Oryctolagus cuniculus: one gene and its partners. The protein of the gene in region 2 purifies or fractionates together with the protein of the main gene of each other region. This does not show direct contact. Links are inferred from orthologs where the notes say so. Each region holds a gene or a part of one and is shown on either strand. Other genes may lie near its edges. The genes, in order: DERL2, SELENOS and DERL1.

The links.
Region 1: the proteins of SELENOS (region 2) and DERL2 purify together in Homo sapiens (affinity purification with western blotting; 3 studies listed by BioGRID and IntAct, with this or other methods). This does not show direct contact. The link is inferred for Oryctolagus cuniculus from reciprocal best matches to the Homo sapiens genes SELENOS and DERL2.
Region 3: the proteins of SELENOS (region 2) and DERL1 purify together in Homo sapiens (affinity purification with western blotting; 6 studies listed by BioGRID and IntAct, with this or other methods). This does not show direct contact. The link is inferred for Oryctolagus cuniculus from reciprocal best matches to the Homo sapiens genes SELENOS and DERL1.

Annotation. Positions count from the first base shown.
Region 1 is NC_091448.1:50,846,071-50,850,411, reverse strand, and holds the start of DERL2 (derlin-2), read right to left. Parts: upstream 2,862-4,341; 5' UTR 2,713-2,861; coding exon 2,620-2,712; intron 1,058-2,619; coding exon 992-1,057; intron 1-991.
Region 2 is NC_091443.1:10,471,402-10,475,477, forward strand, and holds the start of SELENOS (selenoprotein S), read right to left. Parts: upstream 2,861-4,076; 5' UTR 2,804-2,860; coding exon 2,686-2,803; intron 2,397-2,685; coding exon 2,262-2,396; intron 1,348-2,261; coding exon 1,241-1,347; intron 1-1,240. UniProt on the Homo sapiens protein: Involved in the degradation process of misfolded endoplasmic reticulum (ER) luminal proteins. Participates in the transfer of misfolded proteins from the ER to the cytosol, where they are destroyed by the proteasome in a ubiquitin-dependent manner.
Region 3 is NC_091437.1:148,811,658-148,815,255, forward strand, and holds part of DERL1 (derlin-1), read right to left. Parts: intron 648-3,598; coding exon 536-647; intron 1-535. UniProt on the Homo sapiens protein: Functional component of endoplasmic reticulum-associated degradation (ERAD) for misfolded lumenal proteins. Forms homotetramers which encircle a large channel traversing the endoplasmic reticulum (ER) membrane.

The DNA of each region.
Region 1 (4,341 bases), on a different chromosome or scaffold from region 2:
GCAGGCAGCAGGAGGCAACGCTTGGCTAGAGCTACAGGTCCAGCAACAGCCATGAGAGCACTGAAGGAAGGAAACAACGTGAGATCACAGGACGGCGTCCCGAATCATGAAGTTCTTGAGAATTAGTGAGTACTACAGTTGAAATCACTCAGTCCTACAAATTAATTCCATCTAGGACTTTAAGGTCCTCATCCTAATGAGACAAGCATACGAATAACTGCAAGTAAGGGTGAGACATGCTCTAGTGCAAAGAATGGATCCAAGCAGGCCCACAAAAGATGCGCCTTGAAAGGCAAGACAGAGGCACGGGCACAGGGAATGAAACACACTTGGGAGAAAGGGGAGAGGGTGTAGACAGGCAGAACTACTGCCGCTTGGGCCTCTCCTCCACTCCAACTTCAGCCTCAATCATCATCCTAGCGCAGGAAAACACATGTCTAGCTCAGCATTTTAATCCACTCCCCCGTCATCTAATAAACTAGCATGGTGTTTTAGATGTTGGCTCTTTGGAGTTTTGTTAGCATGATCTGACCCCTGGAAAATGGATCAATTTTTTAAAGCACTAACAACTCAATTTTTGAACTGGCCCATGGCGAAAACACCAAAGTGGTGGCTGTGCCAAGGTAGGGAATGAACAAAATAAGGTCACTCCATGAGACTCATCAGACTCCTCCCAAACTACTAACACTTAACTGTAAACCAGCGATACACAAATACAGAAGCTAGACCCATCACAAGCATACAGGTTTTTAGTTCCTACCCTTGCTGACTGTGATTTGGTTACGCGATGAGGAGTGTGAGGATCTCTTAAAAGTTCCCTAAGTGACCCTGAGGGGACTCTGTGAAGCTGCAGAATCGCTGCTTCACCAGACTTAAAGTCAAAGATCTTCACTGGGTTATTTTTCGAGACAGCATATGATAGGGTTTGCTACGAAACATTAAGCAAGAGAAGAAACGGGACCATTCCTCACAGTTGCATTGGGCTACTTACTTGAAAATGCTTAAAAATCAACTCAGGATTGAAGTACAACTGAAAAGGTGTGATCAGTTCCAACTGCTGAAATGAAAAAAGAGCTGCTTTCAGCACGTCAATCAAGAAACACAATTCCATCCTTTATAACAAAGGATGTAACAAATTCCAATTCTTAGTCACTCAGGTTGAATTCCTTTAAGTGTTTCTTCTTGGGCCAGAAGAAAGGGTTGGTAAAGAATTCCCTACATTGATACAATTCTTGCTCTTTGACACATAATACAAAACTAGAAAGATTGGGGTCGACCAGGTGTAAGTAAGAATTCTTACGGTGGCCAACACTGTGCTGTAATAGGTGAAGCCTCCACCTGAGACGCTGGCATCCCATGTGGGCCCCGGTTTGAGTCCCGGCTGCTCCATTACAATGCAGCTCTCTGCTATGGCCTGGGAAAGCAGCCCCGGTTTGAGTCCTGGCTGCTCCATTACAATGCAGCTCTCTGCTATGGCCTGGGAAAGCAGCGGAAGATGGCCCAAGTCCTTGGGCCCCTGCACTCAAGTGGGAGACCCGGAAAAAGCTCCTGGCCCCTGGCTTTGGACCCACCCAGCTCCGGCTGTTGCAGCCATTAGAGGAGCGAACTGGCAAGTGAAAGATTTCTGTTTCTCCTTCTCTCTGTAACTTTGCCTTTCAAATAAGTCTTTAAAAAAAATTTTTTTTTTTTAGAAAGGAAAGACTGCAAGGTGGGCATCTGGCACCGCAGATGACATGAGACACCCACATCCCATTATCAGAGTGTCTGAGTTTAAGTTCTGCTTCTGCTTTGGAGTCCAGCTGTCAGTTAATGTACACCCTGCGAGGCAGCAGCTGATGGTCCAAGTACTTGGGTCCCTGCCAGCCAAGGTGGTAGACCCAGATTGAGATCCAGGCTCCTGGCTTTGGTCTGGCCCAGCCCTGGCTGTTGCCAGCATTTAAGGAGGGGACCAGCAGATGGAATATCTGTCTCTGGAATTAAAAATAAATAAATAAAAATGCTTAAAGGGGGCAGAAAAGGAATTTACAAATGAAGGTCTTAAAAAATAGTTTTAGATTGCAACAGTTGAGGCCGACAAGGGAGGCAGGCAGGCGGTGATATTTTAGACACAGGACAGTTGGGCGCAGTTGCTAAGAATCTGCTCATCACACGGGCGCCAACTCCAACAGCTGGGTGACACAAGGCAGTGCCTGCAAATAACCAACCCTGGAGACCTTGCCACTGTTCCTCCGGCCAATCCCTTCTTTATTTTAAGACATTTCCCTCCCTACAATGCTCAACTTTCTAGCCTCAATACTTAAGTTTCTTCGCTACGCGGATCTGCGTCCCACCAGTCACCACCGCGCTACCACCTGGCCAGCGCCGGAGCTCCTGGGTGGGCGGCGCCCGCAGCTCTGACCCGCTATTGGTCCGACTTTTCGCTCTCGGAAACCGACACGACCCCTCAGGGATCCGCACATCTTCCTGGGGTCGCTCCGCAACCCAGAGTGAGCCCTGGTAGACCTCCACCCACCCCTGGGACCAGCCCCTTCCGGGCCTGCCGAAGCCCAAACTCCAGTTTCCGCGAGACCCAGTCATGTTCAGCCCGGATAATTAGAAGGTGGCTCTGCAGCTGCTCACCACGGCGGCGGTGGTGAGGACACAAGCGGTAGTGTAGGCGCGGCTGACCGGTGGGATCTGCAGGTACTCCAGCCGGAGGCTCTGGTACGCCATCTTCCCCACCGCCGCCTGCCCCCCACTTCCCCTTCCGCCAATAGGCCCGGGCGCCGGGGCGGGCTCCTAGCGCCCGCGGTAGCCTATTCGCTCCTGTCCAATGAGCGCCGCGCAATCAGCCAGCTACCAATCGTGGCGTCCCAGCCTTACTTCTCCGCCCACTGACGTCAGCGAGAAGCGACTGAGTGTCGGTACCTTCTGCCAATCCCCGCTGGCCACAGCTAGCTTTCCCACCTGACCCCTCTCCGTCACCAATCAGGATGCCCCTGCCCGACCGGACAGCCAGCCAATCAGGAGAGGGACAGCATCCCGCCTTTGCTTTCGTTCGCGGAGGCGCGCACCGGTCCGCATTTGGGTCAGCTCTCGCCACCGCCCATCTCCGGCAGCTAGCGGTAGTTTAAAGGAGGTGGCGGGAAGTCGGTGTCTGGTGGACCTCATCGCCCTGCAGGCCGCAACGGTAGGTGCCACGGGGCTGCATTTTCTCTGAGGAAGCGCGGAAAAGGGGCGGGACTGGACTAGGCATCCTAGCGGGGGCGACGGGGCGGCCTGCCGGGTCCGCCTCGCCGCCGGCCTGGCCGCTAGCTCCTACCTGAAGGTCCCGGCATGCCGCGGGGCCGCGGGGCCCGACGGGATGCGGGCTCCGGCCGGAAGTGGTTCCTGCCCTGTGGCTTCTGGGTCTTGTCCGGCGTGGTTGCGGGCTCTTTAGAAAGGAATCAAATAGAAGGCTGGGGTGGTTTCTATAAAGGATGTGAAATATTATTTACTGAAGAGCAGAAAGATGAGACAGACAGTTATCTCCCATCTGCTAGTTTACTCCCCAGATGTCTGAAACAGCCCAAACTGGGCCAGGCCAATGCCAGGAGCCCAGTGCTCCATCTGGGTCTTCCATGTAGGTAGCAGGAACCCAAGTACTTGAGCCATCACCTGCATCTCCCAGGGTGCAGGTGAAACCCTCCCCCCCCCCCCCCCCGAGCATCACCCTCACGGCTTGTTGATAAAACAGTGATGGAACCTCGACAGAGCTTCGGCCGTGCCTGGTAGAGAAGAAAAGCAAGATCGGATTTTTTTTTTTTTTTTTTTAAATGGAAGGTTTGCTTCAAGGGTGGGTCTTTCAGTGTAGGGGCTTGATAAAACAGTCTAGGATTGTTGGAAATGGCCAGGCAAGGATTTCAGAGAATCTTAGGGTGCAGATTGTCCGTGCTTCCTGTCGAAGCTTTGGTCCGTCTTTGGGGGAGTTCAAAATGATCCAGCCGTTTGAATAAGGAGACTGTCCTACTCTCAGAATAGTAAACTCAGAGTAGTGTAGACATCGGGGGCCTGGGGAGAGAGATGTAGGTAGTTTGTAGTGTCCGACCAGTGTGTGGGGCTAGGTGTTTTGGTTTTTGAAAATATACAGCAATTTCACACATACCAAATTGGCAACAGGTAGAATGTTGAGTTTGTCAAGGGCTGACAAAGATATGAGAGAAACTTACTTACGTGCTGCGAGTGAGTGTAAAGCCAGTCTGGATGTGCTGGCGCTCATTTAGGAATATTTAGTGAAACTGTGTTTCAGTAAACTGTGGCCCAGCAGTTGCCTGAGCAAAGGCCCTGCCAGGCCCAAGGGAGACCTCCTACGCAAGTGCTTGT
Region 2 (4,076 bases):
ATCCCTCCATTCCCCATCCCTCCTCCCCTCCACCCTTCCATGCCTCCATCCTCTCCACCCCTCCACTCCCCATCCCTCCATCCTTCCATCCCTCCTCCCCTCCATCCTCTCCACCCCTCCACTCCCCATCCCTCTATCCTTCCATCCCTCCTCCCCTCCATCCCTCCACCCCCCACCCTCTATCCCTCCATCCTCTCCTTCCCTCCATCCTCTCCACCCCCCACCTCTCCTTCCCTCCACCCCTTCACCCCTCCACTCCCCATCCCTCCATCCTTCCATCCCTCCATCCCTTCACCCCCACCCTCCTTCCCTCCATCCTCTCCACCCCTCCACTCCCCATCCCTCCATCCTTCCATCCCTCCTCCCCTCCATCCCTCCACCCCTCCATCTCCCACCCCTCCATCCTCTCCACCCCTCCATCCTCCACCCTTCCACTCCCCATCCCTCCATCCTTCCATCCCTCCACCCTTCCATCCCCTCCACCCTCCACCCCTCCATCTCTCCATCCCTTCACCCTCCACCCCTCCATCCTCTCCACCCCTCCATCTCTCCTCCCCTCCATCCCTCCAGCTGCCTGCAGCGTCCCCTGGTTCTTCCTCGGCTTCTCTGCTGACCTCCTCTTCCAATCAAATCCTGCATCCTAAAAAATCTTCCAAAACTGTATCCTCTGCTCCCACCTGCACCTGTTAGCACGACCCTTGCTTGAGCCGTCTGCTGTCCTCCAGGGCACCCCACCTCAGGGCCCTGTGACACCAGCTCACAGGGGCTACGGGGCGAGAGGCACAGCGTGTCTGTGTGTTCTGCAGCCCGAGACCCGGCCAGGATGCTGTGGGGTGACCAGCTCTGCGGAATGCACCAAGCAGGAAACACTGGAACAAAAGCCTCCTGTCTTTAAGAGTGCACACTGCACAACCAATGCACGCTGAGCCGCACCCAGCTCGGTGGGAGGGACTGCCACAGGGACTGCTCCCAACAGGCACGGGCGAGGGGACAACCTGCTCCTGCACTGTGGCAGCCACACAGCCGTCCCTCCACGCCACAGCACGTCTGCCTTGACGGCACCTGGATTTGCAAGTGGGCCCAAAATACCCACTGCACCTGATGGAATAGGCCCCTGTCCTGAAGCTTACAAACAACAACACAGATACACTCACACACTCACACACTCACACACACACACACACACACAGAGCTGTCATGAAGCCTCAGTTTCAGACGACAGAGCAAAACCAGCTCATACCTGTCTTAGCTTTTCCTTATGCTTTTCAACTTGCGCATTGAGTTCCTCTTGCATTTTCAGGCGAGCGGCTGCTAAAGCCTCCTGCCGTCTAACGACAACATCGGGTTCTAAAACGGCAGAAAAGACTTGAGGTTCAGCACCAGGTACAATTAAGATGGAAACCCGCATGCACATAGTAGAAGCAGAAAAGGTTTTCCCACAAGCAGCTCCGTCCTCTGCGTGTATTCTGCAGCTGAGGGGCAGGGGACTGGACCATCGCCCTACACTGCATCTGCAAGCGCAGGTCTCTGAGCCCCTCCCGGCAATGCCAACTACAGGGCTGTGGGGCAGTGGCCCCGCGAGCAACACGCAGGCGGTCTGCTGGCCGCAGTGAGACTCCGTTACACAATGGGGAGTCCTCCCTAGCAGGGTGGCCCGAATCCAGCTGTCAATCAAGGACAGAGTTTTCAGAATCCTCTTCCATCGTCTCAGCAGGTCAGGCCTGCGACAGACAGAGGTGAGGGCACTCTGGGGTTCCTTGACTAGAAGTGACCACCCCCGACGAAGCCCTCTCCTCTCTGGTCTGTATGTAGCCTGCACCTTCCCCTCCGGACCAACGACAGCTGGCTCTGCACAACCGCACCGCTGGCCGACGCGACCACGACCTCCGGGCCTGGCCGGCAGGTCTGGGACGCAGTGCCTAACCAGTGCAAGCGTCACCACTCAGGGGAACTAGAAATCGGGTCTGATGGGCGATGTCGTGACAATCAAAATGTGGCGCTCCATGCTCCTTGGCATAACTCGAGTTAGGAGGCAAACCCATCAAGGGTTCATTTTAACCCGTGCCGTAAACGAACCACCACTAACAGGCGCCGCCCTGAGTGCTGTGCGTACCATCCGGCCGATTTAAAATCCCAGAAATTAAAAAAAAAAAAAAAAGAAAAAAAAAAATACACCTCCCATGCCCCCGAAATCAAGTCCAGGCTCCCACGCCCCTAACAAGGACTAACTGGTGCAGGCTAACACGGGATCGCGCACTGACCCAGCGCGGCCTCGGCGCCGGCCAGCTGCCTCTGCCGCAGGCCCCGCAGGCGGGTGGACAGCTTCTGCAGGACGGCGTAGAGGACGATGCCGCTGAACAGGATGTACCAGCCGTAGCTCGCCAGCACCGAGCCCACTGCAAGGAAGAAGACAGCCTTCAGAATCGAGAGCCGCGCCCCCGCCCGTCCGCGGACCTCGGCGGGCCAGCCCGCAGGCTACAGCGCCGGGACCCCCGAGGAGCGAGGCCTCTCAGCCCCCTGGCAGGTGACAGCGCCGGGCGTCGGAGGCCCAGGACGGACCCGAGCGGGGCCCGGGGACAGACACCCGAGGGGCTCGCCCGCCGCGCCGGGTCCCCGCCGGCGTCAGCGCCCGGCCGCCGGTTAGGCCTCCCGGGGCCAGGGCCGCGGCAGCACCGGGCCACCCACCGAACATGGCGGCGCGCTGGGCCGCGGCCCGCGGCGACTCACCCGTGACGTGCAGGAAGCGCAGCCCCTCGGTCTCCAGCGCCGGCCGCGCGGACAGCAGCTCGCCTTCTCCCTCCATGACAGCCGCCGCCGCCCGGCCGGGACGCGTCGCCTCCAGCGGGCCGCTTCCGGCTCGTCGCTGCGTACACGTGGCGCGCCGGGACGCGACCGCGATCTCGTCCAATCGCGGCTCAGCTTGTGGCAGAGGGGGCGTGGTCGGGGGCGTGGTCAGCCCCGGAGCGGCGGAAACCCGCCCAACACGTCCCGGGCGGGGCCGGGCCCGCGGTGGGTGCGAGTGGCGACTGACCCCTTTTCCCTGATTTTTTTGCTGCATGCGTGCTTTCTTCCTGCTTGGACCCTGAGGCCCAGGAAGTGAGGATGCGCGCGGAGGTGGGATTTGCGTCCGTGTCCTTGGCCCGGGCGCACTGGGCAGCGGGACTCAGGGGCTGGCGACCCCCAGCCACCGAGGGCAGCCGCCTGCTGCCGGGCAAAAAAAAACCCCGCCGACCCTCGGGGTTCTCTGGATCAGTACCACGTGGGCCAGAGTCTTCTGCACGGTCTGGCTCTTAGCAGGTGTCCTGGGGCGTCATCCACGGCTCACGTGACACCGCTCATGCCCACCGTATCCACCGATTTGGAAATTTGACCTCAAGCCGTATTTATTTTTATTTCAGAGACTTGAGCACCCCCATCCCTGGGTCGCTGCCCACATGCCCGCAGTGTCCAGGGCTTGGCCGCGGAACTCCATCCAGGTCTCCTACGTGAACGGCGGGGATCCAGCCACTTCAGCTTCCACGGGCTGCTTCCCAGGGTTCCCGAGGGCAGGAAGCTGGGCTCGGGGACCCAGGGCTGGAACCTGCGCACTGCCACGTGAGATGCAGGTGTCTTGACCACTAGGCCACACCTGCACCCCGAGGGTTTCTTTGAGAAGCAGTTGAAGCACACATACCGACTTGTATTTCAAAAGAGTCGAGGTTCAGGAGCATAACGAATTGAGAAACTAGGGAACAGGTGGTAACATCAGAGTTTGCCACCTGTCGTCACCAGGGTGACTGCAGTACAGTGAGATGAGGCACAGACCCACTGCTCTTCCTTGCTGGTGTGCAGAGTCGTTGCCCGTCCCAGCATGCCCCGGGGGCTGGGAAGCAGATTCCCACTGTGGCACTGGAGGTCACGGGCCACATCAAGTCCAGGGCCCCTTCACCTGACAGCCACCTTGAAAATGGCCTGACACCGGGAGACGGAGGGCTCTGGATGTGGGAGCAGGCCTGGGAGGCTGGCCGAGTCTGGGGAGACTGGGAAGGGGTTTACTTGGTGCCTTGATGCCTTCCTCCCACTTGCAAAGCGATGAA
Region 3 (3,598 bases), on a different chromosome or scaffold from region 2:
AGAAAGGATTCTTACAGCGTACCCAAAGCATCACACAGGGATTCATATCGGACGCTACCACATTACTAAATCTTGGCTATACATTTCAAAGTTGAGTGTTTCAATTAGAGAGAGCAATTCTAGGCTTCTAATTGCACAAAGTAGTACTTCTCAAGCCCACTCCAGACAACATATACACTCCAACCCAATTTTGCACTAAATGACAAGGACTGCTCTACAACAGAAATGAATGAGATCATCTAATCAAGTGAGAAGCACACAGCTGAGCCACTAAGAGACAGGCAGGAAACGTAAACCTCTAATATGTTCTTTTTTCAGCTAAAAAAAAAAAAGTGCTACTTATACTTCCTGACATTTTACAGAGTAAAGGACAAACAACTTCAGTGCTTAGCACAGTCCTGGCATTCACTGAGCAAACACAATCATTACGCCATTTCTTACCAAATGCTACCTGCCCTCAAAATTCCTCCAAGAAAAGAAACATATGAATTAGCAAATCAGAAGAAAAAAATATTTACATCTACAGATGACTTACCTGTTTCCAGGCGAGTAGAATACTGATACAAGAAATATAAATTGACCAAATAAAGAAATCCAGTTCCTGGACCCACAGGGAAATAAAAGGTGGCAGTGATTGGCCTCCAAATCTGTCAAAATCAAAATAAAGACATTTGTTAGTTTTTCTAAGCCTGATTAATTTTTTTTCTTTTAACTAAATTAACCTTTGCAAAGCTTTCTCAAAATGATACTACCAACACAATTCAAAACAACTGAAGAAAAGTTCATATAAATTACAATCACATCAATTTGCAAACCAATGGATAAGCAATAAGTATTTCTAAACAAGCTCTTAAAAATCAATGTCTGGCCCTTTGGCACAGCAGGTTAAAGCCACAGCCTGCGGTGCTGGTATCCCATATGGGCACTGGTTCTAGTCCTGGCTGCTCCTTTTCCAATCCATCTCTCTGTTATGGCCTGGAAAAGCAGCAGAAGATGGCCCAAGTACTTGGGCCCCTGCACCCACGTGGGAGACCTGGAAGAAGCTCCTGGCTTCTGGCTTCAAATAATCCCAGCTCCAGCCATTGCAGCCATTGGGGGAGTGAACCAGTGGACAAACGACCCCTCCCCCTCCCCCACTGCTTCTCCCACTCTCTAACTCTTTCAAATAAATAAATATATCTTTAAAAAAAAATCAATGTTATAGAAGTACATGGTTGGGACAGGTGTTGGGGAACATTTAGGCTGCCTGTGTCCTTTATCAGAATGCCAATTTGAATCCCAGCTCCTCTATTCCAATCCAGCTTCCTGCAAATGCATCCTGGAACGCAGCCAAAGACGGGTCATGTGCTTGGGTGCCTGCCACCCATGTGAAGACGTGGATGGAGTTCTGGCGTGGCTCAGCCCTGACTGTGGCAGGCATCTGGGGAGTGAACCAGCAGATGGAAGATCCCTCTTTCTGTCCCTCTTTAAAGTAGATGATGATAAATAAACAAACATTTTAAAAAAGAATTACATCTTTAGTTACTGAGATCATACAACTAAGCCTATGACAAAATGAATTGCAAAGACTTCTTTCCCAACAGTACAATAATTTCATAATATCTCTATTTAGGAATGATAAACCTTATTCAAAAATGTCATACTCAAAAAGAATTTAAACAGGGATTTTTACTAAAAAAAAATTGGCTAAATAGACAAAATGAGCACACATGACATAAAAACCATTACCTGAACAAACAATACAGAAGGATCTGCAGTAAGAAATAAGCCTTGTTAACAACAACTGATGAGGTTTTTGTACCAATATTATTTTCAAAAAGTAACAGGGGGCTGGCGCTGTGGCATAGCAGGTAAACCCACTGCCTGCAGTGCCAGCATTCCATATGGGCACCAGTTCGAGTCCCGCTTCTCCACTTCTGATCCAGCTCTCTGCTGTGGCCTAGGAAAGCAGTGGAAGATGGCACCTGCATGGGGGACCTGGAAGAAACTCCTGGCTCCTGCCTTCAGATTGGCATAGCTCTGGCCATTGCGGCCACCTGGGGAGTGAACCAGTGAATAGAAGACCTCTCTCTAAGGTAGCAACGAGGACAGACATTTGGCCCAATAGATGAGATGCCTGTATCCCACATCAGAATGCCTGGTTTCGAGTCCCAGTTCTACTCCTGATTCCAGCTCTTGTTAATGCATACCTCAGAGGCAGGAGTGATAGTGAAGTAACTGGGTTCCTGCCACCTACGTGGGAGACCTGACTGAGTTCCAAGCACCCAGCTTTGGCCCCAGCCAGGGCATGTTGTGAACACTTGCAGAGTGGATGGAACAGGAGCTCTCTGGATGTCCATTTCTCTCTGTCATCGCTGCCTCTCAAATAAATTAATTAAAACAAAATTAAATGTAAGTAAGTGTATCCACCATTTATCAAGCTTATGAAATATTTTCACTCCAAGAATATCAAAGTGCTCACAGCTTTATTATAGCACTTTTCATAGTTCATCCAAGGAGTAAGGAGGAAATTCACCTTCTTTTTCTAGATGGTCACTCAGTTTCCCATTCCCATTGACAGAGTGTCCCATATTTCCTCCAATTACTTAAAAAAACTACTTTCACTGAATATTTATTCTATTTTATCTTAATGTCTATTTTAGACTATCCTGCTTGAAACTGAGGTCTAGACCAATACCAAGTTGTTTTAATCTAGTTCTATAATAAATTTTAATATCTGATAAAGTTGAATAGTTAAATCTTCCTCCCCTTTTTTATTTATTTATTTGACAGGCAGAGTTATAGACAGTGAGAGAGAGAGAGAGAGAAAGGACTTTCGTCAGTTGGTTCACTCCCCAAATGGCAGCTACGGCCGGTGCTGCGCCAATCCAAAGCCAGGAGCCAGGTGCTTCTCCTGGTCTCCCATGCGGGTGCAGGGGCCCAAGCACTTGGGCCATCCTCCACTGCCCTCCCCGGGCCACAGTGGAGAGCTGGATTGGAAGAGGAGCAGCCAGAACTAGAACCCGGTGCCCATATGGGATGCCGGCGCTGCAGGCGGAGGATTAACCAAGTGAGCCAAGGCACCGGCCCCTCCCTCCCCTTTCTCTTATTATTTTGTCTTATTTTCTCTTACTATATTGTCAATCTTCTTGGTTAGTCTCAATATTTTATTTTTCTGAATGAATCTAAACAATATATTGGTTATATGGACACGATATTGATGTAATTCCCACCCTAGAAGCTTCTCATAGCTTTTTTTTTTTTTTAAGGTTTATTTATTTATTTGAAAGGCAGAGTTACAGAGAGGCACAGGCAGAGAAAGAGGTCTCCCATCCACTGGTTCACTTCCAAAATGGCTGCAACGGCCAGAGCTCAGCTGATCCGAAGCCAGGAGCCAAGAGCCTCTTCCGGTCTCCCACTCGTGTGCAGGGGCCCAAGCACTTGGGCCAGCCTCTTCTGCCCTCCCAGGCGATAGCAGAGAGCTGGATCAGAAGTGGAGCAACCAGGACTCAAACCGGCACCCACACGGGATGCCAGCACTGCAGGCAGAGGCTTTAATCTCTAAGCCACAGTGCCGGTCCCTCCCATAGCTTTTAGGGTTTTCAATTGAACTATCTTT